Lepisosteus oculatus: one gene and its partners. The protein of the gene in region 3 interacts with the protein of the main gene of each other region in a biochemical or structural test. Links are inferred from orthologs where the notes say so. Each region holds a gene or a part of one and is shown on either strand. Other genes may lie near its edges.

What was found. The genes of interacting proteins can lie anywhere in the genome.
Region 1: the proteins of ptenb (region 3) and rpl14 form a complex in vitro, tested with the Homo sapiens proteins (2 studies listed by BioGRID). The link is inferred for Lepisosteus oculatus from reciprocal best matches to the Homo sapiens genes PTEN and RPL14.
Region 2: of the proteins of ptenb (region 3) and nedd4a, one has a biochemical effect on the other in vitro, tested with the Homo sapiens proteins (7 studies listed by BioGRID, with this or other methods). The link is inferred for Lepisosteus oculatus from reciprocal best matches to the Homo sapiens genes PTEN and NEDD4.

Annotation. Positions count from the first base shown.
Region 1 is NC_090705.1:43,035,181-43,045,679, forward strand, and holds rpl14 (large ribosomal subunit protein eL14), read right to left. Parts: upstream 4,959-10,499; 5' UTR 4,861-4,958; coding exon 4,858-4,860; intron 3,124-4,857; coding exon 3,022-3,123; intron 2,750-3,021; coding exon 2,655-2,749; intron 2,285-2,654; coding exon 2,185-2,284; intron 1,790-2,184; coding exon 1,736-1,789; intron 977-1,735; coding exon 914-976; 3' UTR 874-913; downstream 1-873.
Region 2 is NC_090700.1:45,801,825-45,812,929, forward strand, and holds the start of nedd4a (E3 ubiquitin-protein ligase NEDD4), read right to left. Parts: upstream 4,959-11,105; 5' UTR 4,143-4,958; coding exon 2,631-4,142; intron 1-2,630. UniProt on the Homo sapiens protein: E3 ubiquitin-protein ligase which accepts ubiquitin from an E2 ubiquitin-conjugating enzyme in the form of a thioester and then directly transfers the ubiquitin to targeted substrates. Specifically ubiquitinates 'Lys-63' in target proteins.
Region 3 is NC_090699.1:21,661,444-21,672,738, forward strand, and holds the start of ptenb (phosphatidylinositol 3,4,5-trisphosphate 3-phosphatase and dual-specificity protein phosphatase PTEN), read right to left. Parts: upstream 4,884-11,295; 5' UTR 4,040-4,883; coding exon 3,961-4,039; intron 1-3,960. UniProt on the Homo sapiens protein: Dual-specificity protein phosphatase, dephosphorylating tyrosine-, serine- and threonine-phosphorylated proteins.

The DNA of each region.
Region 1 (10,499 bases), on a different chromosome or scaffold from region 3:
AGAACAAAATGGATAGTAAACCACAAACCATGAAGACGTTGGAAGTCCGTGAGGCTAAAGTTAGTGATTGGATATTTAGTAGCCTCCCAACCCTAATCCATTGTCATTTGGACAAAACCTGAAACCTAGATTATGCTCTGCAGAAATATCACAAATAACTACATTACAGTTCCTGGACTTCAAGATTATGATGCAGTTATCTAAAGTGTCACTTAAATTTACAGGGTGAGAGAGCACATCTGCAGTCCCACCGCTGGCAAGCTCTAGTTGTCTGCGCCTTAAAATGATGGATGTGCTACTATTAATACATCATACTTGTCAAGCTAAAAAGTTGTTTAGCCGGTGGAACTATGAATTAATCAATTATGTCAAATTGACCAAGGGTTTTATAAAAGACCTTCTACAGTCTTGTATGTTTAACAGCAAAACATACCGCTTTTTTATTCACTTTGCATGTAACTAATATAAAAATGATGCTTTGGGAGAATTACAGATTTTTTTAAAGAATACCTAAAGAGGTCTAACTCGGCTCCTTACAGAAATATCTCCTTCTAAACATTACTACTATATTATTCAATCTCAGGGCATGATAAACTGACTTGAGCTGTATAGCCTGTTGTCCCAAGAATGAGATATTTTAAAAATTATCCATGGTCAGAGAAAGGGAGTGTTATCAACAAGCCTCATGTTCCATCCATATATGGAACCCCACATTAAAGGTGTAATGACAAAACTCTCAGCCTACGGACAACTCCGAGGTTAAAATTCAGACTTTTAAACCAACTTGGAAAACACCCCCTTACCTCAACCGTATAACTTATGTATGTAAAGTTTAAAATAAAAAAATATCTAGAAAACAAAAGCAAACCACTCTTCAGTTTAAGACAGCAATTTTATTTTAAATCTTAAAAAATTATGCTTTTTTCTGTGCTGCTTTTTGGAGCTTCTTCACCTCGTGCTTGATGATTTTGTTCCTCTGTAAAAACACAAGACCAAACGTTTAGAACTTGAGCAAATCAGCAGATGTTTTACTAATGCAAGATTCACGTTCTGTTTACAAACCATTCCAACATAAAATATTTCCAAATGTTTATTTTGATATGGTTAAAATCTCAATTCTTTGTTAAACCATGCCCACTGTCTTAATGAAACTCAATGCCTTAATAATTCACATTTGAGCTGTACTCAATTTATGAGAGGCATTTTAATAAACTTTGTTCACTAAATCTTGGAAAACATACTGCATGCAACTTACTGGTACTTTTAAAGCAGTTTATGAAATAAAGAAGCCTTTTCAAAAAGCACAGAAACATTCCCACAACCTGATCCGATCATGCTATGAAATGGATGCCAGGAACGTCTGAGGCAAGGATATAAATTAGACTGGGGTCATTTCAAGGACCTACAAAAAGTGACGTTATTCGTTGTTCTTAGTAGCATTTGTTTTAAACGTTTTTAGAGCAATTTTGAATTGCAAGGCACAAATGACTGAAAAGCCTTTTGTCTTTACACAAGTTTTTGGGAGGACATTTCAGCTTAAAAGTCTTCATTCAAAATCAAAGTTTGTGTACCACAAAAATCTTTAAGAAAAAAAACTTCCCTTCACTAAATAAAGTTCCCTTCATTTCCTTCACAGAAATGTTATTAAATTGACATTGAGGGCAAAGAAAAAAGGCACACCTGTCACCTGAGCCTATGAGAGAAACACCTTTAAATTTTTTCAAAAACAACATACCATTCTCTTGGCCTTCATCACCTTGTAACGGTCAAAGTCAGACATTTTGGCCCTCTGTAAATAAAGCAGAGCAGCAACCATAAAACAAATCCACTGACAAGAATAGAGAGCCTTCTGCTTCACGCTACACATTCAGCTATGCCCACTGCACGAGGAGAAGCTATCCAACTCATTGATTTCTAACATTTCTCTGCATTTCAACTGTATAATTCTCTGGGTCGTAATATTTATTTTGCAATGACAAGGCTCTGTGGCACAGGATGCAAACTAAACCAAGCACTTCAATCACTTCAATCAACTGAACAGTTTGCTCATGTCATTCAAACAGCACAGAGAAGTGCTGGTAGACCATACTCCCTTCCTGAATACGGCCTCTCTCTCCCAAAACTTTAAACTTAAACCTGTAAGCTGTAACTGTACATCAAGGCACGAATGACAAAGATACACACCTTTTGCCTGGCTTCAATTTTCTTCGCCCAGCTGGTCTCGACCCACTTCTCGTTAACCTGAGCCTTCTCCCAGGCACGTCTCACAAATTTCTGACGAGCACTGTGAAAAGGAAAGAGTTAAATTACTCAAGCCATACTAATACACTCTTTGGTATACAAGTCCACGAAGTTAACCGGCAGTATTAAATAACTCATGTATGGTAATTACCTGCATGTTCATTAAAGTTATGGGACAGCTAAAACATCTTTATGGAAAATCATCAATGGTTCTGTATTACTGTTTCTGCAATAGATTACGAACCGTGGATATTGATATTCTCAATTATTCTGTTATGTTTCTGATTCTTTGTTGTTGCTTCAAATTGCCGGCCTTTTCATCAGAAAGGTCTTTTGACACCAAGGTTTGACAGGCTCTTGTACCACCGTCTAAATACCCCAAAACAATCGAGAGGCTTTTCTTAAAAACGTACCTGTGTGGAACTTTGATGACAAAATCGGTGAGCTGCATGCACTTGAAGGGCATAGCCTGTCTTTTCACACCGGTGCACGGCCCATCCACCAGCGCCTACAAGACACACGGAAACAGAGGTGAAACCGAATGGCTGTAAGTAAAGCATTTACATTCTGTAAATCATTTCTGACCCAATACAAATTAAACCACAACCTGGACTTGATAAGCAGCAAAAAACAATAACAAAATGGAACTTCAGTCACAGGCCATTGAACCATTTAAATACGTTTAACCTTCTTATAATCAAGTATGGGAGAAGGACATCAAACAACACCGTCTTGAACGAGGAGAATAAGAACTTCCGAGGGGTAAAGCCGATCTCTTACCCTGTTCTGGTCAATGACATCAATGATGGCCACCAGTTTGCCTGCATGGGGGCCAAAGGACACATAGGCCACCCTGCCAATCTCAACAAAGCGCTTGAACACCTGCAACAGAACACAGTGCACGTACTGTTAGGCCTCCAGCAGCACAGCCCTGGGCACATCTGAGAGCTGGGAAACACACAGGTGAACACGGAACACACAGGACCAGCGGACCTCAACTCACCCCTAAAACAACCTGCTTAACTGACAAAAACCACAGCAGAACTAGAAGGTATAAGTGTTCTAGCTGTGAAAATTGCTAAGAACCACAACTGGAATGCCTGCCACTTCTATAAGTGTACAGTTCTTTATAAAATGATTTTACACATAATACTGTCTTTAAGAAGGAGGAGCCTACATGCAAATACACCTAAATGACTTGTCCAGTGTGTGTGGGGGCACAGACAATAATAATAATAAGAAGAATACCAATTGTTTACACTTATACAGCGCTTTTCTGGACACTCCACTCAAAGCGCTTTACAGGTAATGGGGACTCCCCTCCACCTCCACCAGTGTGCAGCCCCACCTGGATGATGCGACGGCAGCCATAGTGCGCCAGAACGCTCCCCACACACCAGCTCTCAGTGGGGAGGAGAGCAGAGTAATGTAGCCAGTTCATAGAGGGGGATTATTAGGAGGCCATCATTGGTAAGGCCCAATGGGAAATTAGGCCAGGACACCGGGGTTTCACCCCTACTCTTTTCGAGAAATGCCCTGGGATTTTTAATGACCACAGAGAGTCAGGACCTCGGTTTCACGTCTCATCCGAAGGATGGAAAAGGCTAAAAAAAGTGAACTATGCTCTGGCAGAAGAGGGAAAACCCAGACGGATTTGAAGCAGCAGCTCTCCCGGCAAAAGGCTTGAGTCACCACTGAAGAGCAGTAAGAAGGAGATCTAAACTTCGTAAACTGAGCAGTGAGGCAGGAGGTAAAATCGATCCGTGTTCAGGATTTACAATGGTTTTACTGGAACATAAGAGAAGTTTCGTAAACCTTGCAGACCCTGGATTGAAGGGCGCCTCGGAGACATACGGTGCTCAGGCTGCAGCAATGAGATGAGGCTTCAAAGCGCTTCGGGATCAAGCAGTTAAGTCATGTGGTTTGTCGTGCGATACGAAAATATTACTACAATTTAAGAGATCACTCTCTCAAGATGTGATCAAGTTTTCCTTGAAAGAATATTGCACAAATAACTACAATTTAGACGTTTACACGATTTATGTTGGCACAACATAGACATCATTTAGGATGTTATTCAAAATATTACCACACGCTACTGAAAGCCAAAAAAATGAGACTGGGTAATCGTAACGGATAAAGACCAGAATAAACTGAATTATTTCAACAAAGCACTCCCGAATGCCGTAACATCTCTTATACACAGAACTTACTAGATAATATATATTTAAGCGGGTCTTAAAAAGCACAAAACTAATTCTCCAACAGCGTCCACACAGCAGTTACAACAGAAACAAAAGAAAAAAAACTACATTGGTGCAAAAAGTCAACTGTACACGTAATTAAACACACAATTAAGCGGCTTTTTCCTCCGAAAAGGCCGGGCAGAGTTCACTGCAGGCCTCCATCTCATGGCTGGTCTCACCACGCTAACAACCCCCTAGAAGATTCTTCCACACATTTCAGCGCAACGATCCACAATATCGACGTCTTTCCACTGCATTTCTCTTACGGCACCTTCAGAAAACGATCCTAGGCTTTTACACCTTCACATGCGAAAAACATCCCGACGAATATTCTAGGTTTTCCACCCCGCGAGTGGCCGCATGCACTCACCATGTTGGCGACCCAGACAGAAAGGACCACCGCACTTCCGCTCCGCTCAGATACGGCCTTCCGCCCGCGGAGCCGCTCCCTTCTGCGCAGGCGCGCCGTGCGTGAAGCCGCTGCGCGGTGACGTCAGCGAGGGGCTTCTCCGGCGCGACTGCTCTGTCCCACTCCCTTTTGTGTATATCTTTTTCATGAATGTCAGAGGTACTCGAAATGTTGTTAAAAGAAAAACATTTTTTTGTATAAAACTGTGAGCTGAATTTTAGTTTTTACAGGGAACGCATGCATATTGAAACTAAAGTTTATAAATAATTGAGAGATATTAAAACAAGGAAAATATGATACGTTTAAAATATACAATTTGATCACATAATTACTTAATTACCTCTGATAGTTAAATATTTTTTTTCTGCTACATTATTTTTCTCTTGTACATGACTCTGATCCTCTTGTTGTATTTGTATTTGTAAATTTCTTTATGTTTAATAAAAAAAAAAGAAAAAAAAATGCTCTGTCCCACTCCGTGCGTTAATTAACAATTAGTCTGTTAGCGCTGTTATGTATAGATGATCACATCCGCAGAACACAAGGGTTTAGCGCTACTCCCTTCTGTAACGCCTGCGAGAGGGAAAAGTAATATGACTTGAACTCCATTAAAACCTCGAAAAATAACAAGGCAAAAAACACAATTGATGTATGTCAAAATTTTGACTTGGGTCCTGATTTAATTACCTCTGGAAGCGTACTGTTCTGCGCTTTGTTTTGTTTTTTCTCCCTTATCCTTTTTTGGGGGATACATTTTCTCCTTTGTGTTATTTGATGTTAGATTAAAAAGTTTTTTTTTTTTTTAAAGTGCTCGGTCCTGTATACAGGACATGTACACATGCACCACACCGTACAGTTCAGGAACCTGTACAGCAAACCAGCGACTTGACTCGTGTTTGCCTAGGTCTAGGATACCAAACTGAGCTCCTGAGCTCTAGACGTCGCTGTCCGCTAGTTCTTGACATGCAGCCGCCTTGACTTGCGAATCACATCTGTGTAATAACATCCTCAAAATGTTGCAAAGGAACAAGTAATACGTTTATTCCATGCTGAAAAGAGCAGAAAAAACAACGTTTCGGCCGTGGAGCTTTCAGAGAGGAGAAAACAATAATATTCCTGGACTGCACCACCAGAATTATCAGTTAAAGGCTTGAAATAAACAGATGTTTTTGTACAACTGTCAGCTTTATTTAAAAAAAAAACTCTGGTTGGTGGTTTGCTTTATTTGCTTTTCTCTATGAACAGCCTTCCCATTATGACCTTCCTCTCAACGTAAGCTCTCTTTAGAGCTAAAACAACATAGAGCATAGGGTTATCTAATGGCAGAGACACTTGTATTAGGTGTGTTCTGCCTACACTAGGTAGAGGAGAATAACATTCTGTTGACTGAGAAAGATGTAATGATAGCCTGGTGTGATTTAAATTGGTTTAAATTATTAATTACTACTTTAATTTACTTGCAAACAAATAAGCACCTTGTGCATCATGGCATTTCTGATTAAGGATGATTTTTCCACATACTATGTTTATGTCACATTAATGTTATGCTCCCTTTCAATTTGCATTTACTGTATAAGAGGACTCTTCTCACACAAGTTATGATTTTCAGTTGAACACAAAGCAGCCAGGGGGTTTAAACAAGTACAGTATGGGTTAAAAATCAGGCTTACAGTTCTTGTATTGCATTTGAATTTTTATAATTTGTGATAAAAAAAGAGAAAATGCTCAAATACAAAAGTGTGATGCTTGTATTGGAATAAAACAAGTGGTAAATCACATTAATATTTAGTGAGAAAATTCTAACCGGAGTTTCTAAAGGCTTGGATAGCCTTTATGTCTCAGTTTTCAAATCTAATTAAGAAGTGTTCTCTTTCTGGCTCTTTCAGACAAATGGATATCAAATCATATAACCAGTTGCTAAAAATAAGTTACACTTCAGTGTTTGATGAATTAGGAGAGTAAGTCAGTTTATTTCTCACAATTTCCTTTCTATCTGAATGCATCTGGCACATCCATTTGTTTCAGCTTCACATTCCAGTAATGAAGCTACCGTTAAAGTTGATTAAGGGATACCTTTAGTCTTTTTCAGTTCAGTAAAATTTTCTTTTTTATATGCTCCATCGAATGAATTATTAGTTAAGTTGAATTTTAGTTGTATTCTTTTTTATGTCACTTATATTTTACAGGTTGATACAGATTGGTGACTCAACCCCTTTAGTTCCTCCCAGACAACAGGCTGCATCCTAAGGTTTCTGTTACATCACACAAGCTGAGGCAGTACCAGAGCCTATCCCAGACAGGATACACCCTGGAGGAGACGCCAGTTCATCCCCAGGCACACACAGACACAGACACAAACACACACACACTCACTTCAGGGTCAGTTTTCCCAGAAGCCACTTAACCCACGAGCATGTCTTTGTGCTGTGGGAGGAAACTGGAGCAGCCAAAGAAAACCCAGATGAACATGGCAGAACATACAAACTTCACACAGACAGCCCTCCAAGTCCAGAATTGAACCCAGTGCCCCAGCACCTCAAGGCAGCAATGCTGACCACTGTGTACTGCCCTCTATAAAATATATAATCAATACTTTTATGTATAATGTTTGAATCAGATGGTTACACCATTTAAAAATTTCAAGATGTAAAAAGTCTAGATTTCCTCATTATTTAAAAAAAGCTGTCATAGAACACAATTTCTTCTTTTGTAAATCTGAACATTTTAACAGTCCTATCCTGTTCCTGAGGAATTTTGAGAGATCGTGTGAATTTTTAATGTACACTTTTTGCAGAATGAGTGAATCCCATTTAAAGACAAAGACAGATCACGCCTTGCTATAGTAAGGTTCTGTGTTGTAGGAAGGTCCTTTTGTGGAATTAAAAGGGACTTATGTGTGATGAGTGATGACTTGTAGATAAAGCTGCAGTCATGGTTCTTCACCAATCATAAAACTTGTGCATGTTCTGAAGGTAGCACTGAGAATCTGGGAGTGGCCCAAATGCATATAGAGCACTGATCTAAAGCACAGAATCATCCTTGTAAACCACGATCAGCTGAGCAGAGGCAGCCAGCCCAAGTAAATCACTGAGAACCTATATTTAGCAAAGGAAAGTAATGTGATTTTAAGAAGGATTTTAAGAAGGACCTTACAGAAAGGTAAGTGGACCATTAGGAATGTACTGTATACAACTACATTTCGGGATATAAGACATTTTATTTCTGTAGCATTATGCATAATGCGTGTTTTAAACTATATGGTGCTTAAGGTTCCTTTCTTGTAGACGTGATTTGCTAATCCTAATTTCTCTGTGAAGTAACTGAATAATTACGTTACATTTAGGGCATTGTATTACCAACTATCTATGCAGTAAATCTTACTTTGTCATTAGGCATATCTTCACCTAAATTACTTCAGTGGGGTTAATGGAGAAAACGAAATAATTTTATTTTTGATCCAAAATGCTGTGTGATTACTAACAATATAAGAAAAAGGAAAAGAAAATGTGTTCATATTCTCTGCATGTATAAACTTTTTATTTAAGCAGCTGAAAAGCACAAGGTGCATGAACCCTTTTAATACCTGAAGGTAATTGGTTCAATAACTGAAAAAAAAAATTGAAATGTTTTAATGTAATTTCCATTTTAGTATTTTGCATTTTAAACAATATAATCTGCTGGAGACTTTAGGAATAGATTTTTTTTACTTTGGCATAAAAAGTCAAATCAATATATGGGTCAAAATAGTGTTATTATTTTATTATATTGTCATATCAATGGTTATTTGAAAGTCTTATTAAAAATTGTATTTTATGTTTTCAGTATGAACAGGGAACCTGTTTCCAAAATTAAATAATTGTTTTATCTGCATTAAATCCTCACTGCTGGTGATGCAGAGTAATGTGATGGAGGCAAACTATCTTTGTCTACTTCTGGCAGAGATACAAACACAGCTGTGCTGGTTGTATATGGTTTCCTTTAAACTTAAAGAGGGTCCCCAACCTTCCATCACAGCCTTGTCCAGAGGCAGACTCTTTCAAGCATTTCTAAAAGATTACAATTCCCTGTGCCTTACCAGAATCCCGACTGGAACCCGGAGGGATGTTGGTTTATTTTATGTTATAATCTACATTGTATGATCAGGCTCCATCACTGTTTTTTTGCAGCTAATTGTTTTAATGTTTAGAACACCAAGAGAGCAAAGCAATGCATACAGGTACTGTAGAAATGTGTGCCAATCTGTGGCACTCTAAACAAATGCATCTCTGCCATAACCCCCTGGGGAAGAGGAGTAGCAATTTTTCTCTTTTTTGAAAGATCGCAGTAGTGTTCTTGCAAAAAAAGTTTCACACTACCTTGTATTGCTATTCGCTTTTTAAGAAGCTGTAATGAAAAGCTAAAATGACTATGAAACAATCAAGAAATAAAACTTAGTGCAAATAATGCTGCCTGCCATTTTACATCCATTTTCTACCTGAAAGAAAGGCGGTTTCTAAAAACAGATAATATTTGAAAAATCTTTAGATATGTCTGTCATACCAGCATAAGTAACCAGTGGTTCTTGCTTATTAGGGGGGAAAAATTATGGAACAAATCCATCAAAATAAAATCTATCAAAACTGACATACTAACAGTTTGAATACGCTAACTTAATCTAAAATATTCTGTCAATTGTCATTTGCATTTTAAACGAGTTAAAAGGACACATTTTAGAGTAAATGATGCATTTGAGTAAGGCATTGAGCCATGTAAGGCCTAATAGCAACTAAATGTTGACACATTCTAAAGTACTTAGGAAGTAGTGATCTCAGTCAAATGTATTTATTAAATAACACATTGCCGACCGACAGAAAGGAAGTCTCTTGAATTGAAGAAGTCTCTGATTAGAATTAAACAACTGAGAAATAAATTCATGTTGATTTTAAGAAACAGAAGTTTCATTTAGCAACAAAAATGGTCAAATGAGTAAAACTGTTTATGTCAAATTCTAAGTGCGTTAAAATGTGAAAAAGAGAGCAGACAATTATGAGGAGGCTTGTACTGTATGTGAAGACATGCAGAAGCTGACTATAAATCTGATTTGTGAGGTCTTACAGATTCCTGGCTGTTCCACCTCATTGCAAATATGTGTCTAGGTCTCTCCCGTTGAGTCTCATCTGCTATGACAGCACAGTAGATGATAGGTACCAGGAATTGTCTTTAATCTTGTTTGATCTGATATCTGTCAATTTTAAGTGAAGTATATAAAAATATCAATCTTAGTTGTGAGAAAATAGCAATTTAGATGGCGTTGTAAGGGGAGACAAACTTTTAAACAAATATTAAGAACCTACACAATACTGAGAACAGCAGTGAGTTCTTCACATGTTTTTGTGAAGCTATAAAGATATTTTAAGACATTATTGGAAGTAAAAATGTAGATACCTTTTTACATATGCATTTATATTTAATGTATATGCATACACTCACTGGTTTACAACCAGAATTGCACTTTAAAAATAGCTGAAGTAGAAACATAAGCTACAGAGTGAAAAATGAACTTTGTAAACAGCATTTAGAAAGCCCTTTTTCTAAATAAAGATGCATATTTACAATTCCGTTGT
Region 2 (11,105 bases), on a different chromosome or scaffold from region 3:
AAACCAACACTCTTCCTGTTGAAACACCCAGACATTCTGCACAATGCTGACAGACTACATTTCTTCCCAGTAGCCACAGAAAAAGTGACTGTGGCCAGGTTCCAATTTAAAACAACAAAGGCCTCTTTGCATGGCTGATCTGTAAGGGCACTGGAAAAAAAAAAGGCAGTGCCATTTTTCTCGTCACGCTAGATTGCCAGGAACAGGCAGTTTTACTGCAGAAGTTTCGGCACAGAAAACACAGGAATTCAAACCTGCTAAAGCAGTAATCATCTAATGGCAGTAACTGTTAACACTCTGTGATCGCTTGATCTTCTATGTGCAGAGCATTTCAGCTAAAAACCATAAAAACAATATAAACAGTAACAGAGGTGGAATTTGCCTTTTTTCCCCAATATTATCATTTTAAGCTGTAAACTCAGATGTAATGAATCTGGAAGATTCATACAGACCTGAAGGATTTATAGGTAAGATCAGCTGTCTTAAACATGAATGTTATAGGCTGTCCTATCAATAAAAACATTCTTAAGGTGCTGACTTCATTCTAGGTCACAAAGACAACACTAAAACAGTATTTTACAGAGCATAACAAAACTCCAGATTTGCTCCATACACTACCATACACACACCCTTGCTATGAAAATTAAGAATCACTTCATCCTGCAATAGGATAGGATCTTTTTATTATTTTATTATTTACAAGAAGTCTGAAATAGAAATGAAACATTGAGCAGTTGTTCAAAATTTTTAAACTGTATTTTAGCACTTGCAACTGCAATGCAAGTGACTCCTCTAGCCAGTTCCTAAGGCAGCAGGTCGTGACAAGCTGTTAAACACAGAAAGTCTGTTACCCAGTGCTTTACAACCATGGGCTGGCAGGGAGACACATGGGAAAAGCAGCACGCAGCCCTTTTAGTGTGCCACAGACACAGGGCTGCATCACCCAGGCCCTGATATAATTTCATGACCCCAGTGTACAAACGGCTGACATGGCTGAGAGCTACTCTAATATCAAGCTGTTAAATTTGAATCCAGGGCTTGTGTATCGCTGTGATGGGCCAGACTATCTGGAGTCAAGAGACATACTTCTGAGGCTGTTTATTTATAGGCGGGGTCTCTTTTCACAGCTAAAATTAGAATAAATATATGAAGTGTGCACGCAAAAAGTGTTAACAGAATAATAAAGGAAAGCCATCTGTGTTCACATTAGTTACTTCATTTCCAAAACAGGATCAGGAGGGGTTGATTTAAGTATTTAGCATCCTTCATGAAAATTAATAAAGCTGAACTTTCAACTCCCATCAAATGTTTGTCCACATTGGTATTGTTTAATGTTCTAGATGAGGTAAAATTACTTTCACAGCTATTTAACCAACAGGTACTGGCTTCAAATATCCAGTGCTCATACGAGCTGATTGTAACTATGCAAATGCTCATATTTCACATCTGCGTAATTTAGGGATATAAATCTATTCCTTGATAAAACTGCACTAGAGCGCCTGAGTATCTATTCTACAATACAGGACCTATGTTTTGCATTATGACATTTAACTGGAGAAACGGTACTTGCATTCCCACTGGCTAAAGACTTACTCCTTTTAATTTATTGCTTTACTTTAGGAGGAACACTGTAGAAGGGTTTATAACTAATTTAAAGACCCAAAACATCACAATTAAAAAATAAGTATTCTAACAAGTGTGTACTAGTTTTACATTTTTTCTTTAAAAAACATTTCATAGCATGTTTGCAGCAGCTGTATATAGCCTAACTGCATCAACATTAAAACTGAGCTACAGCTCCTACTCTATCCTGCTGCTTTTACAAAAGGCAACTTTAGTGTTTTGTCATTTATGAACCAAATTCTTTGCAAACTGCAGTACAAGAGGTTAATCACAGACATAAAAAGTGGCTACGGTTTCTGTTCCCGAAGGATACGCCACTGACACACACCTGAAGGTAGCTCACAGACGGTCTGTGTATTGCAGAGTTAGCTGGCAGTCTTTGTTCTAACAATGAAATCAAATGCAGAACCGCAAACAGCAACCGAGGTAAGAGCACAGTACAAAAGCTACCAACTTGTTCTCCTATCACTTCAGCAGGTTTCGGAAATTTTTAGGGGATGTGGTTTTTAAACTGCAGTAACTTAAGAATGAAATGTTTCTTTTCCAAGTCAAAATGACACATTAACACTGACATTGTGGCAGAACCAAAAGACGGACTCAATCACCATAAACCTTTATCAACAGTTTCCTCACCATCTTGTAACCATCTGTTGTTCTCGGTTTTCTTCTCATGAGTGATCAGTAAAAATCTGGTGCACATAATCGGTGCACGGCAGGCACTCTACTGTATTTGCTGCATGAATGTTAGCTAAAAGAGCAGAGGTGTTTAATACTATTCTGAAACTATAATGTGTATTTATTTTTTGGTTGATGTTTTTTTCCCACAGTTGTGAAACAGTTTTATGGGCAACTGTTTCACAAAGGTATCTAAAACACAACTTCCCATTTATGATACCAGACTGTGCTGAAAGATTACATGTAAACTTTGTCTCGTGACAAAAGGGAACTGAACCTCGAGACCTTTTTACTCTTCTGTACAGACCAGGAACATGAACAAAGCAGCTTACCTTGTCCCTTTTGCCAGGGCTGCCTGTATCATTGTCAGCCTTTGAGTTTCTGTTTATTTCCTTCAGGGAACCACAGACCCTTCCTTCAGCCCCAGGAGACAAATGAATGTGTACATGAGGGGGTCCCGTCTTCGAATTATGTCTCCTGGGATTGGAAACATGGCATGAAATATGTTGATATGGCACCTCAAGGGAAAGGCTCCTCTGCAGAGCATGATGACGACCTTGGTTTCCTTCCTTTTTGTCTTCTGCCCTAAAGCCAACTTGGTAGTCAGGACTCCTCTGCAATGGGAGATATGCCGATGTGCTTCGGACGAGTTTAATGTGGCGGCACAGCGGTTCAGTTTCGAGTCCCGGCCCTTGAACAGCTTGCTCAGAAGTGCTGTGCTGCCCCTGTGTCATTGTCCTCACGCTCTCCTGGGCAACTGCCCGTTGCCGAGAGAAATGCAACAAAATGCTCGCGTGTCGTTCTGATCGGTCACAAACAGCTGTACAGTCCTGACCAATGTCAGTTTCCCTGGGTTTATCTGGCACTGGTGTGTTGAGATGCAGTGGCCTTATGTCCCTGAGTTCCACAGTGGGACAGCTGCTTTTAGACAACCGCAAGCCACTGAGCGCTGTTGCGATGGAGCCTTTGGATGCAATCTGATCGTCCTCTTGTGCAGACTCGCCGGCAGTCAGTGAGAACTGGTGGGAGGTTTGGTATGGACCACGCATCGGTGCAGGCCCAGGGCTAACTGGAGAGGCTGGCGGCGTGTTACAGGGGCTCCGTGGGAAAATGACTAAGGAGGAGCAGCGCCTCAGCGGTACCTTGGCCTTTCGTCTCGTGAAAGTCCTTTCAGGCCCTGCTGGGCGTTCAGGGATGTCAGGTTCGAAAAATGTACTGCTACCACTGCAGTACCCCGCATCGCTAGTTGTGCTGCTGCTGCAGGAACCTCCATCTATGCTTGGGCTCGCACATGACGCAGAATCCCCACTGCTTGTGCTGCTTTCATTTGCGCCAGAGCTGAAAGAGGTGCCTTCATTCCTGGTACCAGTCAGACAAGATCCAAACTCACCTTCATTACAGGAAGCATGATCAGCAGCGGGATAGTGAGGAATAGCACCTGTGTCATCGCTGACAAGTTTGCTGTTTGAACAAGTTCTTCCATCACCTGAAGCACGAATAAAACAGCCATCATGAACAGCCGCAGGGCTGATGCAACTTTCCAGCTCTCCGTTCAGTTTGCGAGGCTGCAGGGAAATTTGCAAAGAAGTGCTCTTTTTGCTGTTGTTTACCTTAGGTATAAAGACAGATGAGCAGCGCTGTAAATTTCCAAACTCTGGTGACAAGGGAGGCAAAGCCAGCTGCCCTGGAGTTACCTTCATTTGAATCGAACTCTGCCCTCTGCTCTCTGAAGGGCTCCGGGAGGACACGCTGAAGTTTTTCTCCACGCCATTGCTGCAGGTCTCCGATAAAGGGTCAGTGTTGCTCCTTCTGGTTGCAAAATGCAAGCGAAGCCGCTGTGCCATTTGTCTTACTTTCTAATCCTGTAAGCGAGTGGAAGGCATAGCAAAACCCACTTGAAAAGAAGCAAAGCAACTGCTTCGGATCCTGTTCTGTGATTACAATCATTAGTAGCTGTACATAGCCGAAATAGCTCCAGTGACAACTTACATTCCTCTCGTGGCTGTACTGAAGTTATTAGCCAGGGAGGTCAGATGAACTCTGAAGTGTAAGCACAACCAAACGAATAGCTCCTGAGACTGCACAAATCCTAATGGTCTGTATCTTTAAGGAGCCAAGGTACATTCAGTCACAGAGAACAGCATTGTAGCAACTTTAAAGGCAGAGCTCAGCTGCTGTACTGAACCCAAGCCAAAACCTCGCTTCAATTATACCTTCTCCAATTTGCACGAACGAATCCAGCCCAAAAAAAACAATCTTCTAGCATTTCACATTCAAGCGCCACAGTACTTCTCTCTTCTGCTCCAGGCCAGCCGAGCCTTTAGAACTGCTTTAAGCAGCAATGTGTCTGAAGTTTCTTTGCTGCGCCGTAACACCACTAATATTTTTACCCGTTGGGATAGAATTACAGGAAATCAGGAAGAATGAGGTCCAGCATAATTCAGTATCAAACCAAGGATTGAATTCCCAAATACTATCCATACTAGAAAACCACTGGGATTGTGCAAATATGCAGGAAGCTACTGGTAGTTATTACTAACTGCAAATGAACTACGCTTGTAAAATGATGTCTGTTTTCCTGTGAAGCCCTTTGATGAAGAGATAAAGCACTGGAAGTAGCGATGTTTACACTAAGCATTCTCCAATGAGTTACCCCAGCTATGAAACTTGTTTTGCTGAAAATCATCCATTTCACTGCCCTAATAAAGCCCAAAATAAAACTAAATAAAGTTTTCAGTATGAAGGCGAATATTCAAAACCTTAAAAAAGAATTTATTATTTTTACAGAATATCTTAGGAAAACATTCACCACATCTACTGACATCTGAAACCCTTTCTACTGTCTATCTACTTATGCTACTGTAGATCCTTATATTTCTTTTGTCTGAGCTACATAACTGGGAATCATATTTAAACCCTACAGAGAGGAAGCAACACTTCCTGACACAAATTGACACGGCACTCAACACTGATGTACCCATTAGCACCTCTAAAAGACTCAGCCGATGGAAATATCCCATAACGGAACCCTATTTGATAATCCTTAGCCATTTCACTTAAAGGCAACGTCAAGACTGCTCACCCCCTTATTATGCGGTGAGCCCTGGAAGATTCTCAGTAGGGTGTTCTTAAATATCCGTAATTCCACAACTGGCAAACCACCTGCCCGCTTTAAGTATTAATCAAAGCCGACACCAAATGTTGGAGCTGGGAAACTGAAGAGCTTGCCATGTTCTCACCGGACTCACCACCACTTGGTTTTTACTCTTGAGAATGGTTCCAAATCTCTCACAGCCTATACAACTTTCTTTAAATCCGGGGTGTCCAAACACACTAATAACATCTGAGGAGACCCAAACTCCATCTATAAATTTTTCCTCCACGTACACTTTCAACATCTGTTCATTATTCAAGGCTGCAGAGCATTTGTGAATTAAATCAAGTATATTCCCCTTACAGATTTTTTCCTTGCATATTTGCAAAAAAGTTTCTTGCCATATTAAACAATAGGACTGACAAAGAGGGAAAAAAAGAACAGTATTATTATTAACTCTTAGTGAGAAAGGTTCCTTAGCTAATAAGAAACAGAACGCCATCTTCCTATGTGGGAGTTTATTTAACCTTTATGGTAATTTAGTACAGTGGCCAGTAACATAAAAAAAAACATTTCATGTTCATACTTTACTGCTTTTAATGTGCTGACAACACATTCATTTACACTTTTAATAACACCCCCGAGCATATTCCATTTCCCTTACCTGCATTTTGTAGCAATAAAATGCAATAAAAGGTATACTGGGTCATTCATTGCAAGTTAACACACCAAATAGCTGAGATATTTATAGGCATAGCCCATGGGTTCACAAGAAAAAAAAAGATATACTTCTAAACCTTATATTTTTCATTTAGGTTTTGATTAATTCACAACCGATGAGAACTCCATGCTACTATATACAAAGAGACATTTATCCAAAACTTAGTATTTGAAACTGCTTCTAGATGTTACAAAAACACACCCTTGTTGTAAAATCAAGCCTGAGAAATACACCAAGTCAAAGAAAATGTTATTTTTAGCATACTCAAAATCCTGAAATATTTTTGTAATGATTAGCACACTCCACTACGTAGTTATTGGCTTAGAAATCTGACAGTATTACTAAATGATTTTTCATATTAAAAAAGATGATACAATAACTACAGTCAATTATCCAGCCAGATTATCTAATTCGTCGCATAGCACTCTAATGTGTGAAAGATGTCAGTTTTTCTGAAAAGTCCAGCACGTGTAATTGTTCTCAAATAATTATTCTCAAACTCCTAACAAAAATAAAATGCAGGAAGAACTACACAATTTTCTATCCGCAGTCACAGCAACAAATACATGAATACAAATATATAAAAAATGAAGAGTTATAGTGGGCTTTGTGAATGCAAAACATGACTATGTTTACAATAAACTTACCAAACGGTTTTCATCAAACACTTCAAAGAGCAAGCGGTGCTTTCGGGGATGAACCTGAAAGAAAGAGATTGGTATTTACATGCTGTACACAAGTAGTGAATAGCAAATGTATGTATTTAATCAGCCATCCATTTTCAAACCAGTTCATCCAATTCAGGGCTGCAGGCCTATCCCAGCAAGGAATGAGCACAAGGACGGATGCCAGTCCATCACATGGCACACACAGAAACAAACACATACTCACACCAGGGCCAATTGTGTCTTTGCACTGTGGGAGGAAACCCGAGCACTTGGAGGAAACTCAAGTGAACGCAGAGAGAACACACAAATTCGAGGCAGACAGCACCCCAGGTCCAGAACTGAACCCAGGGCCCAGCAGTGCGAGGTAGGAATGCTAACCACAATGCCTTTGTGCCACCCGTACTGAATCATATCTTTGTTTTTCACATAAAGTAGAATTTAATACATTTCAACCAAATATCAGGTAGACAATAACACAATAAAGAAACAGTATGAAGTGAGACATACTCTATGTTCATTTGCTACCGTTTTTGTCTAATACACACAGAGAGTAACATGAACTCTTTTTCTCATCCACTTCACATTTTCCTTTCTCTCTAAGAAATTCTATTATCAGAATTCCTGTTTTGTAGTGGACACTATGCAAAATTAAAAAAAAAAACATTAGCATTTCATGTTATTTTGTCTAGACTTTGTCTAGACGCATGTGAAAATAAATATTACACTGGCAGAAAGAAAGACAGCACTGTAATGAAATATTAGGCCTACACCCCTTTGGTGGACATTTTTAACATTTATCTGACAACAAACAAAACAAAAGAAACCTTTCAAGTTAATTTCCAAACCAGTACATTTATCTGTAAGCACTGGAAAGGCAGGAGACCATTTCAATCCATTCAGTACCCAAAACAAGACAAATGCATCCCAAAAGTCCACAAATTCAGTGTTCTGCCTAAAGAAAGGCTGAAGCCTCTCAGGTGGCTATTGTGGAATTATATCATTATTTAGGATGTGGGGGGAGGAAAGACCCTGAAGTTGGCTTTACACTGATTAAAGAGTAAATAAAGAGTTTACAAGCAGCTCAACATGTTGATGTTCATTAAGCATCTTCAGGGTTACTTTCTCTGTCCACCATGAGGTATGGCTCCTCTTTCTCTTACTTTCCCACAGACCTCCAATCCAGAAAAAAGTTTGGCCACTAAATTTTGGTAATTTCTCAACTGGGTGATCCGGTTTTCTCACTGCTAACAGCTACTGTGCACTGAGGAAATGGAAGTCATGTCATGGCATTTGCCGAACCACTTTATACCTTACAGTGTTGCAGAAAGCTGGAGCCTGCCTGGCAAGCAACGAGCGCAAGGCAGGGTACACCCTGGACGGGACGCCAGTCCATCGCAGGGCAGGGGCAACCCAATCATACATGGGGACAATTTGGGGGGAAATTTGGCCTGAACACTAGGATAACTCTCTACTCTTATCGGGAAATGCCCAGGGATCTTTAATGACCACAGAGTCAGGACCTCAGTTTAACATCTCATCTGAAAGACAGCACCCACTACAGTATAGTGTCCCCACTACTATACCGGGGCATTAGGACTCACACAGACCACAGGAAGGGTGCCTTCCCTCCTGGGAAGACCAGACTGACCACGCTCAACCCTGCTTAACTTCAGTGGGTAGCCAGTTGAGAGCTGCAGGGTGATATGGTTGCTGGCCAAGAAATGGAAGTATTCTGAATAATTTAATTTACTTGGCTGACAATTTTATTCAAAGCCTTGTACATTTGCACAGGGTTGGAATTTTACTGAAGCTAGGACCCCGCTCAAGGGTACAACAGCAGTGCCCCAGCTAGGATTTGGACCCACAACCTTCCAGTTAGGAATCAAGAGTCCTACTCACTCCTCTTCACTGACACTACAAGACACAGAGTAGCTCTCAGGCAGCTAAATCTATAATTACCACACTGGCATTATTTCATGTCTTTAAAACTGTACGATTTAATGCGTAACCCTAAACCTTTGACCAGATGCAAATCTGAACTCTAACAAGCACACCAAAATAGCTGACTGCTTAATGGGGACATAAAAATGTTGAATTTCACACCTGTTAATCTCTTACAGTTATACTACCATTATTAAAAATTTAAAGAGAACACACTCTGGAATCAGATCCTTTTATCAGCAGCTTGCTGTGCATTTTAGTGTTTCCCATACCCAAAAGGAAGGAAAAAAATAAACAGATGTTTATCTTGTTGTAAAGCTAAAAATAAATAACTATAAGAAAATAAAAGGGGTTACGGAATAGACAAAACCACTTTGAAGCTATAACCGATTCGATGATCTCATTCAGCATTTCTTGAAAGAAGCCAGAGTACCGACTTCAACCAGCCATGCATGGCTGGATAGTATGTTCCAGACCCCAACAACCCTTTGTATAAAGACCTCCTGTTCTCAGTTTTATATACAGTTTACACTTGTGCCCTCTGGTTTGTGTTTAGCTTCCAGCTCTGAGGAAGGCCCTAACACAGTTTTCATTTTTTTATGAAAACTGTGTTAGGGCCTTCAAGAATTTTGAATGTTAGAATTTTCAGTGTTACTTCTTTGCCTTTTTTTCTCTGTCCATGCGGAACATTTCTTTATTGATTCAAGAGTAACCAAAACTGTACACAATAATACAAATGCAGTCTTATTAGTGTACTGTACAATTTTAACTTCAGATTTAAGTATATATTCTTGTGACATGATTTTTTTTCTAGATCTAGAAAAGTCTAAAAGTTTTGAATGATCTATCAACATGAACGCTTAAGTCTTTTTCATAACTTTAACACATCCAATCTTACATTTGTACTGTCTTTTTCTACCTGCAAAAATAATCAAAATGTCTAAATTAAATGTAGTGTGACAAGTGAATGCCCTAATATCTTTAATTTCATTGATGTCTTCTTAGAATTTCCTTTGCAAGTTATTCAGTGTATGCTAATCATATTATACATATTCTGTCTTTTGTAAAATTGAATTTCAACAGTATCTCATCAGAATCTAGATCTTAGAAACTGTACATACCAGAATGAGAATGAGAGGAACCGCAGGTTCAGACATTTGGTGTCTGTGTTTGGCCGAGAAGCCAATGGTGTGAAGCTACCACCTGTGGGATTATGACTGAACGCCTCTACGCCAGAATCCCCCTTAAACGGTGTTAATGAGTAGGAGTCCTAATACAGATCACTGCAGGCAAAGACACTCCAAGAGCTCATCTCACCAGCTTAATCCTATTTGCCCGAACACTGATTAATACTCTTCAAATAACCATGTGGTGCCTAGACACCACATCCTTTCACATGGCAATCATTATAAAACTATCTGGCTAACGTGCAGCCTAATTTCAGCATGTCCAGAGAACACTGTAAATACATCCAACAACACATGAAACTCTACGCCAGTCCCTAAAATATTTTAGCTTGTGAAGTCCAACTAGCCTCAGATCCAACCTACATATCCTTCAGCAAGTCCTGGGTGAATTTCTTTTGAATGGAGTCCAAATCATGCCTCAGGAAACATCCTACCTCCACTCCATATACATTACTGTGTATGTGTAAAGTAGAACTGAGAACATGACATATATATTTTTCACTTCGTAATGAGCCCAGCAAGACTCTCACTGACACCAACGATACTTTTTTTCATTTTATTATCGCATTTATTAATCAGAAGGCAGTGAAAACAAGCAAGGAATTGATCTCTTCCACATGTTAATACTCAGGGAGTTGCCCTTGTTTGCAAAGACGATTGCGATAACTTTCAATGTCGAAAGCAGCAGCAATCACAGGACCGTAATCCCCCACCCCATTTCAAAAACTCTTATCAAATCTCCTTTTTTTAAAAACTGAAAAATACAATTCCACAAATTTTTTAAAATATATAAAGCCCATAAAAGCAGTGGGAAGATGGTGAGAGATTTAAACCACACAAGCTATAATATTACATTTCCAAAAGCTTTTTAACGGAAATGGGCTTCATTTTTCACATTAGTGGAAAAAAGACTGCGCCACAGCGGTGGTGCCCAGCCCTAGTCCTGGAGGAACTTCTAGTTTTTGCTCCAGCTGGTTCTTAATCACAGGCTCATTGATTTCAGTTTTCCGTTTGCTCTCAGCTCTTAATAGGTCAAATGAGATTTGTAATTGGCATTAACCCTGTACCAGCTGCTGAGTTTCAGAACTGCTCGAAATGGAACCAATTGGACCTCTGGAAATATACTCATCGCAGTAGTGTCACTCCCACCTGTGTCTGTTCATAAACTGATCAATGTCTCTTCTGTTTAATCAGAA
Region 3 (11,295 bases):
AAAGTGATAAAACCAATTTTCAAACTGAATTTCAAGCATGGCTAATCTTTAAACCATGACTGATGCAGTGCCACTGCTGCACATAACCACAAATGCTGTTGCAAGATCACTTTGCTCTGCTATTTTAAGGCCAATTCCTAGAACTTGGATACAGGATTACATAACAGGAGAAGCCATATTGTTTTAAAACTCCAGGAGAGAAATAAAGTGCTCATCACAAACAACCACAGTTTGAAATGTGGGCCGAAAAGATAAGATTTTTAACCAATTTATGATTTGTATTTCAACGTAGCATTTATCTTCACTCCCATTAGATTGATTTAAACATTTTACACTAAAAGTTAGGTGAATTACACCAACACTAAGGTGAATCCTACACTTTCCTATATTTTAAAATGACCAAAAACCATAACGGGCTTAAGATTAAAGTTATTTTGCTGCTCATAAGGAAAACTTACATTTGACGAGGCCTAATTCCATTTGAAAATACACACCAGGGTCGAAACCACTAGTTCAGAAAATACAGAAAAGGAAAGGGCTCAAAGTGAGAAACGAATCCCAGCATAACTGTTAGAGCCTCTGGACAAAATGCTGATTGCATAGCTCCTGCATTAATCGGGCATCGCCAAAGAAATCAACGTTTATAAAAAAAAGGCCAGAGCAATTGAGTGAACAACATGGACACCTTTTATTAAATTAGTCCCCCATAGCTTACCTTCCATAACTCCACTTTGAAAAACTGCCAACTTTTACCCATTTCCATTAACATTAGAATGCTTGGAAATTAACTGAAAGCCCACCATTTACAAACAGGCCTATACTTAAGAAAGAGGTGACAATCATTTCTGATCACGTAACAAAGCACATACAGCCAATTCCGAAGCCGTACACTTCACATAACCTCGCTACGGGGACTGTGGGCTTTTCTGAGCTTTTCCATAAAAGTCTAGGATTCTGACAAAACGCTAAAAAAAGCAAAAAGGACCACCGATGACACCTGCAACTGCAAACACGTCCCTTTGCAGTCCTTCATGGTGAGGGTTTAACTAAATCCCTTTACTCTCAGCCGGAATTCAGTCAGGAGCTGCATGCCAGCATTACCAAAAACCCAGTAACTTTAGAATCGAGCACTTAGACATAATTTTCCAACATTCTCTACACACCAATTCATAGCTCACTACTAAACAATCAGATGACAAGGGGTGACAATGCAGTTACAGAGGTGTACACATTTCTCCATTTTCTTAAACCATATTAAGAAAGCATCCTAAAATGGCTACCCATCCCCTCATCCCCCATAAAAAAAAACACTTATTAGGAAAACCAGTTACCAGCCTCACTGGGGGCTAGCACATAGAAAGCCATCAATATCGGGGCCTTACATTCAATTCACAGTGACCAAAAAAACAAAAAGCCATCGAACAATCAGGAAAAGACCATATCATAACCAAAGCTGGAAGACTATCAACGCTCAGAGAGATGAAAAGGACAAGTTATATTCCTGTCCTTAAACACGGTAACTGGGCGAGAGGCAGTTAACAGATGGGGTGTAAATGTACAGAAAAAGTGATCTACCTGCCCACAGTTAGAACACCCACTGACCCTCAAAATGGACAATATTCCAGTTTGAACAGCAGGGATGGCAGCCCGAGATTGAAATAACATCTTCTGTTGTTAAAACACTGCGTGCTGGATTTCAAGTGGTCCGGTTGAATGAAGAAGGGAAGATCCAAGTATTGGTAGCTATGATCCTAACAGTTCTCCCAGAGGTTTTCCCCAAGGTGCTGTCCTACAATGCCATAAGATACAGATGAAAAATGGTTCTAAAAACATTTTGAACTTAAGAAGTTTGTATTAACTAAAGGTGCATATTTTAGTTTGAGGCCCACAAAAGGTTCCTAAAGGTCTGAAAGACGCCTTGTAATACCATCAACATTTTTACAGCTGTTCAGCAGTTAATAGCTTTTTTGGAGACTGTGGGAATTAGTAATTCATTTAAACCAAAATACAGTGGAAATTTATGCATCTGCCTACAGCACAAAACCTATTTCTAGAACTCATTACAAGGCCTGTGTGTTCTTTCTTTATACTCATGTGCATGGTGAAAACCAATTTCATAGAAGAACAAATCTGAGAAAAACAAAATGCTAAGCTCCAACCATGTCTTTCAACAACTGGAAGAAATTTCACATTGATTGAAAACCGTTCCTGTCGACAATGTCTAATTCCAACAAAGACTGTCATAACTAAACTGAGGAGCAGACAAGTGTCGAATTATGTACATAGTATTTTGATTATGTCAAGGCATGCCCCAATAGTACAGCCAGGAGCCAGGATTCAGTATCCAGCTGGCGAGACAAGCAGGTCTCTGCTCAGTGCCCCTGCTGTCTTAGTGGAAAGCAAGGCCTGTGATTTTCTCTGCTTATGGGGATTCGGACTGATCCCATCTCTGTCTCTCCTCACTACACTGGAAACCAAGAAATGTGTTTGCAACTCAATCTAAAAAGAAAAAAGCACTTCATGTCTCTATAACAGTCTGTGGTAAACTTCTTGTAGGAAGAGTGGTAATGCCTTGCCTTTTGCGAGACTACTGTACATATGTGATTGAAGCACAGTCTTGGCCTACTGTTTGGCCTGGAAAGTACCACTAACCTGAAGGAAAAGCAGCTTTAGGTATCCAATTACATATAGGTCCGTGGTGCTATCCAGCCTCTAATTCAACTATCCGCAAAATCAGTTTTACCGTTAACAAAGTGGAGCACTTTATAGCAGTACTGCAGCACTTCACCTATAATTACCTGAAAATGCACTCATCGTAATCCAGATCTACCTAAAGGAGCGATGCACATTAACTACTGAGAAAACGCAAAGATCATTTCTCGTTCCACAGACAAGAGAATTTAAACAAGATCAAACGCCTCTGCCATCGCCGGTGATGATGTGCCCGGAGGACCTCGCTGATAATCGATAGATGTTTTCGCCCTGCTAGTGGAAGTGTCAAGTCAACCGCGTTTCTGTCGAGGAGGTACCCAAGGCAGCAGGCCTGGGGATGGGAGCCGCACGGTTTACCTGCTGGACCCACAGATACTCACAGACCGCCGATGCCAAGCTGTGAAATGACATTCCCAAACGACACGACATGAATGTTTAGCCACCTTTTGGAAAACACGACGACAGACTGGAAAGGGTCCCTGTCGATATATAAATCCACCGCCGATTATTTTAAATTGATCCTTTCCGTGTTTTACTGACCGTAGGCAACACATCCATCTTTTTAAACCCACACCGATTATAAACCCGCTATTTGCAATTCTAAGACTTACTAAAGACGACATCTACGCATATTTTACAACACATTTCTTCTCGCTGGCTAAATTAGCCAAACCTACCCCCACCCCCACCACACGTTTATCAACCTCGATTCTGGCTAAATGACAGCATATTTCCAGACCTTTAAGCATTTAATTTGGCCACACAATACAGAGACACGTACCTACTGGTTTTCTGCAGGTTGCTGATGCAATGTCTCTTTGTGTAGCAGTGATTTTGAATTTAATCTAATCCATTCCCTTATCTAGGCCAAGACCTCGTCACACTGCGAAAGAGAATGGGCTCCTTTTCCGTTTCATTTATCGCTTCTCCACCGCACTAAAACGCACATCCGCGCCGCTTTTTCTGAAAGAAAACGGCGTTTTACCCGCACAATGCTCCAGTGCGATCAGGAACCGTTTTAATGTCCACTTACAGCGAAATGTGAAAGCTCTCCGGCCATAAGAGCTGCAACTATCCAGATCTCGTCCACATCCCACTTACCTCTATTTAAAAAAAGACCTCGACTCAAAAACATTATATTCCACTCAACATGAATCGGATCTCAGCCCCCTATACCTAAGAATAATGTTTAAAATGCCGACACGCATGCATGTATATGCATACTTAAAATATGTATAAAATGGATACAGGTCAAGTCCAAGTCGAATCCATCTTCCTGGTATCTCCTTTTGTTTCTGCTGACGATTTCTTTGATGATCGCAGCCATCGCCGTGAAAGGAGTCTTTAGGGCTTGTATGTTAAGAGAGGGTATCGTTGCCTCCCCGGGCTGTGGAAAGGGCCGTCCCCCGGTCTCCCCCGCTCGCTCCCCGGGTCTCGCAGTTGCCCGAGTGTGGCGGCTGCCTGCGGCTGCGGGCTGGACTAGAATGGCTGCTGGCAGGGCCTCCTCTCGCCGCTCCTCCGCGGGCCCGGCTTCCCCGATCCCGCAATCTCTCCCGCGATCCCCCAGTTCCCGAACCGTGAGCTTTCAAATACGGCCCAAGTCTCTAGATCCGCCGCCGCCGCCGTGATTGAGGCGAAGAAAAGCGGAGAGAAAGCCTCTCCAGCGATCCCGAAAAAATAACCCCGAAAAATTGTGACAAGACACACACAAAATATATATATTAAAATCCCCCCCCCCCCCCAGAAACCCTCCAAGCACACAATATCCTCGTCCTCGTCCAAAACACCAGGGAAAAAAAACTGACAGCCTCCACCTTAAAATTTAAAAAATATATATAATAAAAGGGGCTTAAAATATTTTAATATATATAGAGACGATCTTCCTTCCTTTTTTTCCGTCCTCTCCAGCAAAAAAAACTCTAAAGTTCCATCATGGCTTCCGAGAGAAAAAGACAAACTGGGTTACACCATATATCCTGCCGCCGTGCACAAATAGTCCTGCTGTGGCTGTGATTTTACCACCGCTTTAATCGCAGGTGTCCCGATCACGCAACAGAGAAACCGGCAACGGAAAAATGTGTCCCGAAAATAAATATTTCGCATTTAAACCCGACGTAGTGCGCCTCGTTGACATACTACTAGCGGCTACAGTGAGGGCGGAAGGACACACAGGCACACCGCAGGGAAACTCTCCTCTCTGCCAAGGGCAGGTCACGTGTGCTGGTAATTGGGGAAGTTTCCAATATTTTATTTCTTTGCTTCGCGCTAATAATTGAGGTTCTTTTTTTACAATTAGGAGGCCAGGGATTTGCTGACATACGTAAAAACGTCCAATTGTTTCTGAAGTCTATCAGAGATAATTATTACAAGCGTCTGCGAAGTGTTCTGTGTGAGCGAGGAACAAAAACATTACATAATAACGAAAATAAATGGCATCAATGAAAAAAAAATCACAGATAACTTAGCTAGCAGTGACACCCAGTACAACTTGTAAAGTGCTTACGCAAGCAAGAAAAGTAAAATCAGATCAAGTAAACCAGTCCAAGCCAGGCGTGTCACTTAGTAGCACACACAGTCATCTGTGGCACTGTCTTCCAGCATATAATATATATAAGTCCAAAAAATAAAATAGAGACATGAACCTATACATCTACAGTCCGAGGTCCAAGAGATGTGCTTTAAAAGCACATACTCGTTATTTGGGTTTTATTTTTTGTAGAACGTTCTAGTGAACGACATAGGGGTAAAGACTTATGCCATGGCGCCACCTTTCAGGTTATACGGGAATGACACGTTGAAACAAGACCGGCTGCTTTTTCCTGTCCTGGAGTTTGACGGGGTCAAGAATCTCACTGGTTTGACGTGTTAAAGACTTTAAAGCGATGTGGGAACGTTATCTCTTGACGTTGTTAGCTAAACATGTCTAAAACGCTAGTCCCAGCACCTGTTAAGAGCACAAATAAAATATGTTAAGGTCCTTACTGTGGTTGAAGAGACTTTGGCTTAATTTTTAGATTTGTTTTCAATTGTTTCTTTTGGCATTGTATTGTTATTTTTTATAGCTAGAGAAAGAAAACATAAATAAACCAGTAAATGTTTTAGATCTGCATTCGCCTACAGTATTTATTATTTGAAGTGAAAACACCATTACTCCATGTTCCTTGGTTACAATAACTTATAAATGCAAGTTTAAGGTTTGTGTTGCTTGGGGTTAGTGTTAGGATGGGAATACTTTATATGTCAAATATATCAAATATAAGGGGTTACATTATGGGAATCATGCAGACAACAACTAAACATGCAAACATTAATGTCAGAAAAGTTTAATCCAATTGTTCAGTAATGTTTATTTATCACTTTTATACCAGTTGGACTTAAACAATCCTTTTTTGTTGAGAATTAGTTATTGCAAACAAACTGAGAGAATTTATAAAACAAATCAAAATGCAACCATTCTACAATTTATTTAAACTTAAACTGCTTGTGTATAAGCACGTTTAAAATAAATGTAAATAAACTGATATTTTTATCTAGAGACTGATCATTATCAGTTGCTAAATTCTTTTAACCTATGGAAGTGCTTGCACTACTATATGGCAATAAATTGCTATATCATTTTTTTTGATGTGAGAAATTCATTTTTCATATTCCCACCTTGGCTTTTCTGGAACAAAAACTGTTTACAAGCTGATAACTCATTTTTGCTCTCATAGTGAGATGGGAGTATTTGTAGGCTAACACAAATCCATGTGACGTTATAACTTTAAAATAAAAAACAATGATTCTCAAAAACTGCCATTCAAGAATGTAACTCACAGCATTTAAATTGATTTCCAGTACTACCTAAAAGACCTTTATCAAATGTAGCTGAGATCTGAAAAAAAAATGATACTGTATATAAATGGAATACCAATTCACTAATACACAGGAAACACCCTGACCTTGTGAAAGCCATGCAGGTAGGCAAAAAAGTTGGAAAACCCTGCTGATAGAAGAGCTTTCTGAATTATCAAGGACATTGTTTTACTTGCTCAGCTGGTATGTTCTTTCTGAGTTTCCCGTCTGAGGAAATTCAGAAGTCCTAATTACATGGAAAGGAGCACAGAGAAACTTGTTTTTCAAATACTTGTTTTAGGTTTTGCAAATCAAGCGTACAGACAAATCACCAAATAAAGTGGAAAGAGATTTGTACATCTTCATAATTCTCTAATATGCATTATGGGAATGTAGACCTCATTGATGAACCTAAAAAAAACCCAAACAAGACAAGGTCATTCAACCCATCAAGCCCATTTGATAGTAGACAATCCAGAGGTCTCAGCCAGACATTTTTGAATGAAGTCAGGTTATTGGCTTCAACAGCGTGTTCCAGGCTTTGCCAGAGGGATATCCAAAGGTATGAAAATCGTGTCAAAAATCCACAAGAAACCATGAAGGACAAAATGTTTTCCATAGAGGACACAAAACATGTTTTGCATATAGACGCAATTCATAGGGATCTTAACATATATATGTGTAAGGTTGATACTATAACATTTCTTTTTTTGCATGTTCGGTAAATCATCTGAGACAGCTATGACTGACTAAGGCAATACTACAGCTCACCTGTTCATGTCTAGACATGTCAAGATCTTCTCTATTATTTTCATAGCCACCATAGGCCACTTAATTGAAGGTTATTAGCCATGGTACAAGAACAGTTCTAATTGAAGGTCATATTTGACACTTCTGTATTAAGCAGCAAAAATTATTTTAATGTTATCTAATAAGATCAAAACCATCAGAACTTTTATCTGTATTAAATGCAGGTCAATCTCAGTGCATTTTGTGAACAGCTGCTGTTAAGTATTTTCTGTGCTCTCTCAGCTCTTAGAAGAAACTATATTCAAACCCTAAAAGAGAAACAGAATGATCTAAGATTTAGATGCAAAGCTTTTCAGACTATATTTTTAGATTGGCTCTTCATCTTATTTAGGAAAAGCTGAATATAAGCCATATCAGTAGTTTGAAAAATAACCAGACTGAGAGATACAGTAGTTGTTGAGTCCCAGTGGAACAAATGTTGAAATTTTATCATTAATCATTACCGACCCCTAATAGGGAATTGCGTGGTTTGGTATTGGCATGGTCAAAATGGGAAGATTTACTGTTTTGACTAAATTTATTGGATTTCTTTAAATCTCTGATTAGCAAAGAAAAGGAAACTCATGTTAGCATTTGCATTTTTCTTTCAACTTTATTTGTAAAAAAATCTAATACAGATTATACAGTGGCTGTTTTCCTCTGTAATTATCATTTCAGTGCCTAGTTAATACTCAAAGTACAATTAGTGTATTTAAATGGGATTACCTGGAACACCATGGCTCAGATGAACTGATCCTCAGGAAAGCTTATTGGAAATATTTTTATACTATAAGGCCTTCCTATCATTCCTATCAGCTGCTTTGGGGACTGAGAAGGCATTGCATTTAGTGAATTATGTCTCTGACATGAAATCTCTTTATTGTCACTTTATTGATTTGAACTTTGTAAAACCTTTAACACCTGGCTTTAAAAGTGGTTTACATGCATCATATTATATAAAACTATTTCTATTTATGAATACTTGTCAGTTATCTTAAAATATTAACAGTTTGCATGAAATTGTCTGGACTTTTCTTCTGTGTAGTAAACAATTAAAGGAAATGCCATTGAGAAGTTCCCTCATCATACATGGACTTGTACGTGGTAAGGGCTGTGGCAACCTTTAGCAGAAGCTGGTAGCAGAGATCACAAGGCAGGACCATACCCTGACCAGCCCACTGCAGGGCACACACAAGAATGACTTAGAGTTAACCACTATCAGCATGTTTTGGGGGAAATGGCAGGAGAACAGTTGCTCTTGCAGAAGGCAGAACATGCAAACTCCACACAGAAGGCGGAATCAAACCCAGAACCGCAACAGCTGTGAAGAAGAAAAAGTTCACCAACCATGTCGCAGTGCTGCCCAAGCTCAGAACACACAGGTTATTTTTTTGTTGGTGAGCAATTATGCCATAATGTGACTTTTCTGCTTAAATACATTGACTGGTTTCCATGTGATTAGCAGGTTCAGAAAAGATATGTCAACACTACAGCAGGAACATAAAAAAAGATGATCATAAAAAATTATATTGTATATGTACAACATCTAACTCACTTATGCAAATGTTCAGATAATCATACTTTGATTTTCTTTCTTCAAGAATGTGTGGTGTACAATATAAAATTAAATAATCTGATAGATCAAAACTGAATTGTTATATGTAGTATATACACTATATTGCTATATATTATATAGTATAAAGTAAAATAGTACAGATTTTATATTTATATTTACAAAACGTAAATAACTGTATCATATTGTTGTATCATGTACTGTATGTGTATGAATGCACATATGCTGTATATGAAGGAACAAGTAAAGGTTTATTCCGTGCTGAAAAGAAAAGAGACACCGTTTTGGCTGTGGAGCCTTCTATAGGTGTCTGTATATTAATGTACTGTATGTGCATAATATGTATGAATATATCTACTGTATATGAATGCTATGCTCTAATTATAGATTTTCCTGATTTTTAAAACCTGTGACCAGTAGAGTTTGAAGAGCTCAGACTTTATTTCGGCACACTCCACGCATATACTGTACGCCTGTACTGACAGTCAGTGGCGTAACATGGGCAACACATTTTTGAAGTTAGTGCAATTCTAAATTTAAATATCGTCGAGATTAAAACGTCACCTGTTTCTTATGTTCTTTACAAAATGTAAGTGAATTGAGGAGAGGTGGGTTTCGTATTTGAACTTCAGATCTACAGGTGACGTAAATAATTATAGTATTGTAACGCTTACGGCCGACAGGCACTGTGTAAGAGCCGGCGTACCAGAGCGGGTGACGTCACCGCCCTTCCCTGTGATAGCAGGACCACAGCTACTGGGCTGTAGAGAGATCTCTCTTTGGCTCACGGGGCTAGGTCGCTGCAGAGAGACGCGGAAGTCCCGGGTTCGAGCCCCGGACGGTGCAGGGGCCGACCTAATGCGGCAAGGGCGCCCGCCTGAGCCCCCGTTGCGTTACAGTATAATTTATACTTTAAACAGTCTGATTTAAGCGCTTCAGCTCTCTCAAACGGACACGTTGTGATATTACTACCCCCTTGCGGATTAATCTGCTATCGTGGGAGTCTTCGGTTTGAACTCTCGTCCCATCACAGGGTTGAAAGAACCGCAGCTGTACTTCTGCATCACCGCGTGATTGTTTAAACTATAAGACGAAAATGACAGATCCAAGATCCAAGATTCAGCCAAAGATGTGAGATGTTTAAGTTAACTCGTGCCTGAAATCGACTAACAGCGTAAGGTACTGATACATAGAGGAACGTTTTAAAACAGCTCATAGGTTCCGTCAGAGCAGTAACTGCTGTGACACCATTCTCATGGAGTGTGTCTTTTATTTTCACTTCCTGGATCTGGAAGAGTGGATGAGGTGATATAGAGTAACGTGGAGGTGAGTATGTTATTTAACAATACTACAATTTCCGTGCCATTAAATTCGTTAAAATTACGATTGCATATTTTCTTTTACAAATAACACTGAAGACATTAAGTAATTCACTTTTTTCGTGCTTCTTCTGGATGAAAAAGACGAGAAGGTCGTGTCTCAAAGTAAAAGGTTTAAGTCAGGCCGTGGTAGTGATAAATTAAAGTGTAAGGTTTTCATCTTAGAAAAAAAGTGTTTTATAGTAAGTGAAATTTTGTTAACGCAATCGGAATATCCATTTTAACAGTAATGGCTCCGATTAGTTTTTTGTAGATTGCCTTATTTATTATTTTTATGCAATTTGGGAAGAAAAGCATAGATCATTTTTATATTCTGTCAGTTCCAGAATCTATATATATATAGTATTTCTTCTAGATGGGCACCATTTGGAAATTGTATGATCTTTTTTATTGAAAATAAAAATAGAATTGTAGGTTTGTGCAGCCGGCGGCCTAGTTCCTTTGGTGTATTTGAAGTGCTTTAGCCTTAGCAGCTCAAGTCGTCCAAGATCTTTAAAGTGCACTTTTTATTTGTTATAAAGCTGTCGTGCCAAATAACACCCTTCGCCGTGTTTCCCACCACAGTACTCCAGAGAATACCTCTATATTATTACAGTCCAATCAGTACATATTAACTGATAAAGCCTTCTTTCCTTGTGCTGTCAAGACCGGAGACAGACCTTCAACAGAAATCGAAAAAACGCAGGAAGAGTAATCATTCTGATAAGCAGTACAGCGATTCTGCTGGGTTCAACGAATATTAATGTCATTTTTAAATTAATGATTTACCTTGTGACAAGTGTTAAGTGTAATTTACTTGACTGGCTTTGTAAAATGCAAAGGTGTTTAGAGTTTGTTGGCTCAGATGTGTGCAGGCCCAGAGGAGCCTTATGTAAGCAGGAAAGCTAGTCTCTTGAAAAGAGAGGGTTAAGTAAGACAGCTGCTCCAGCCCTCAGAAGGTGAGAGCACAAGGAGCCACATGTCTAATTCTTAGTATATCTGTCTGCAATATTTTTATTTAAAACATAA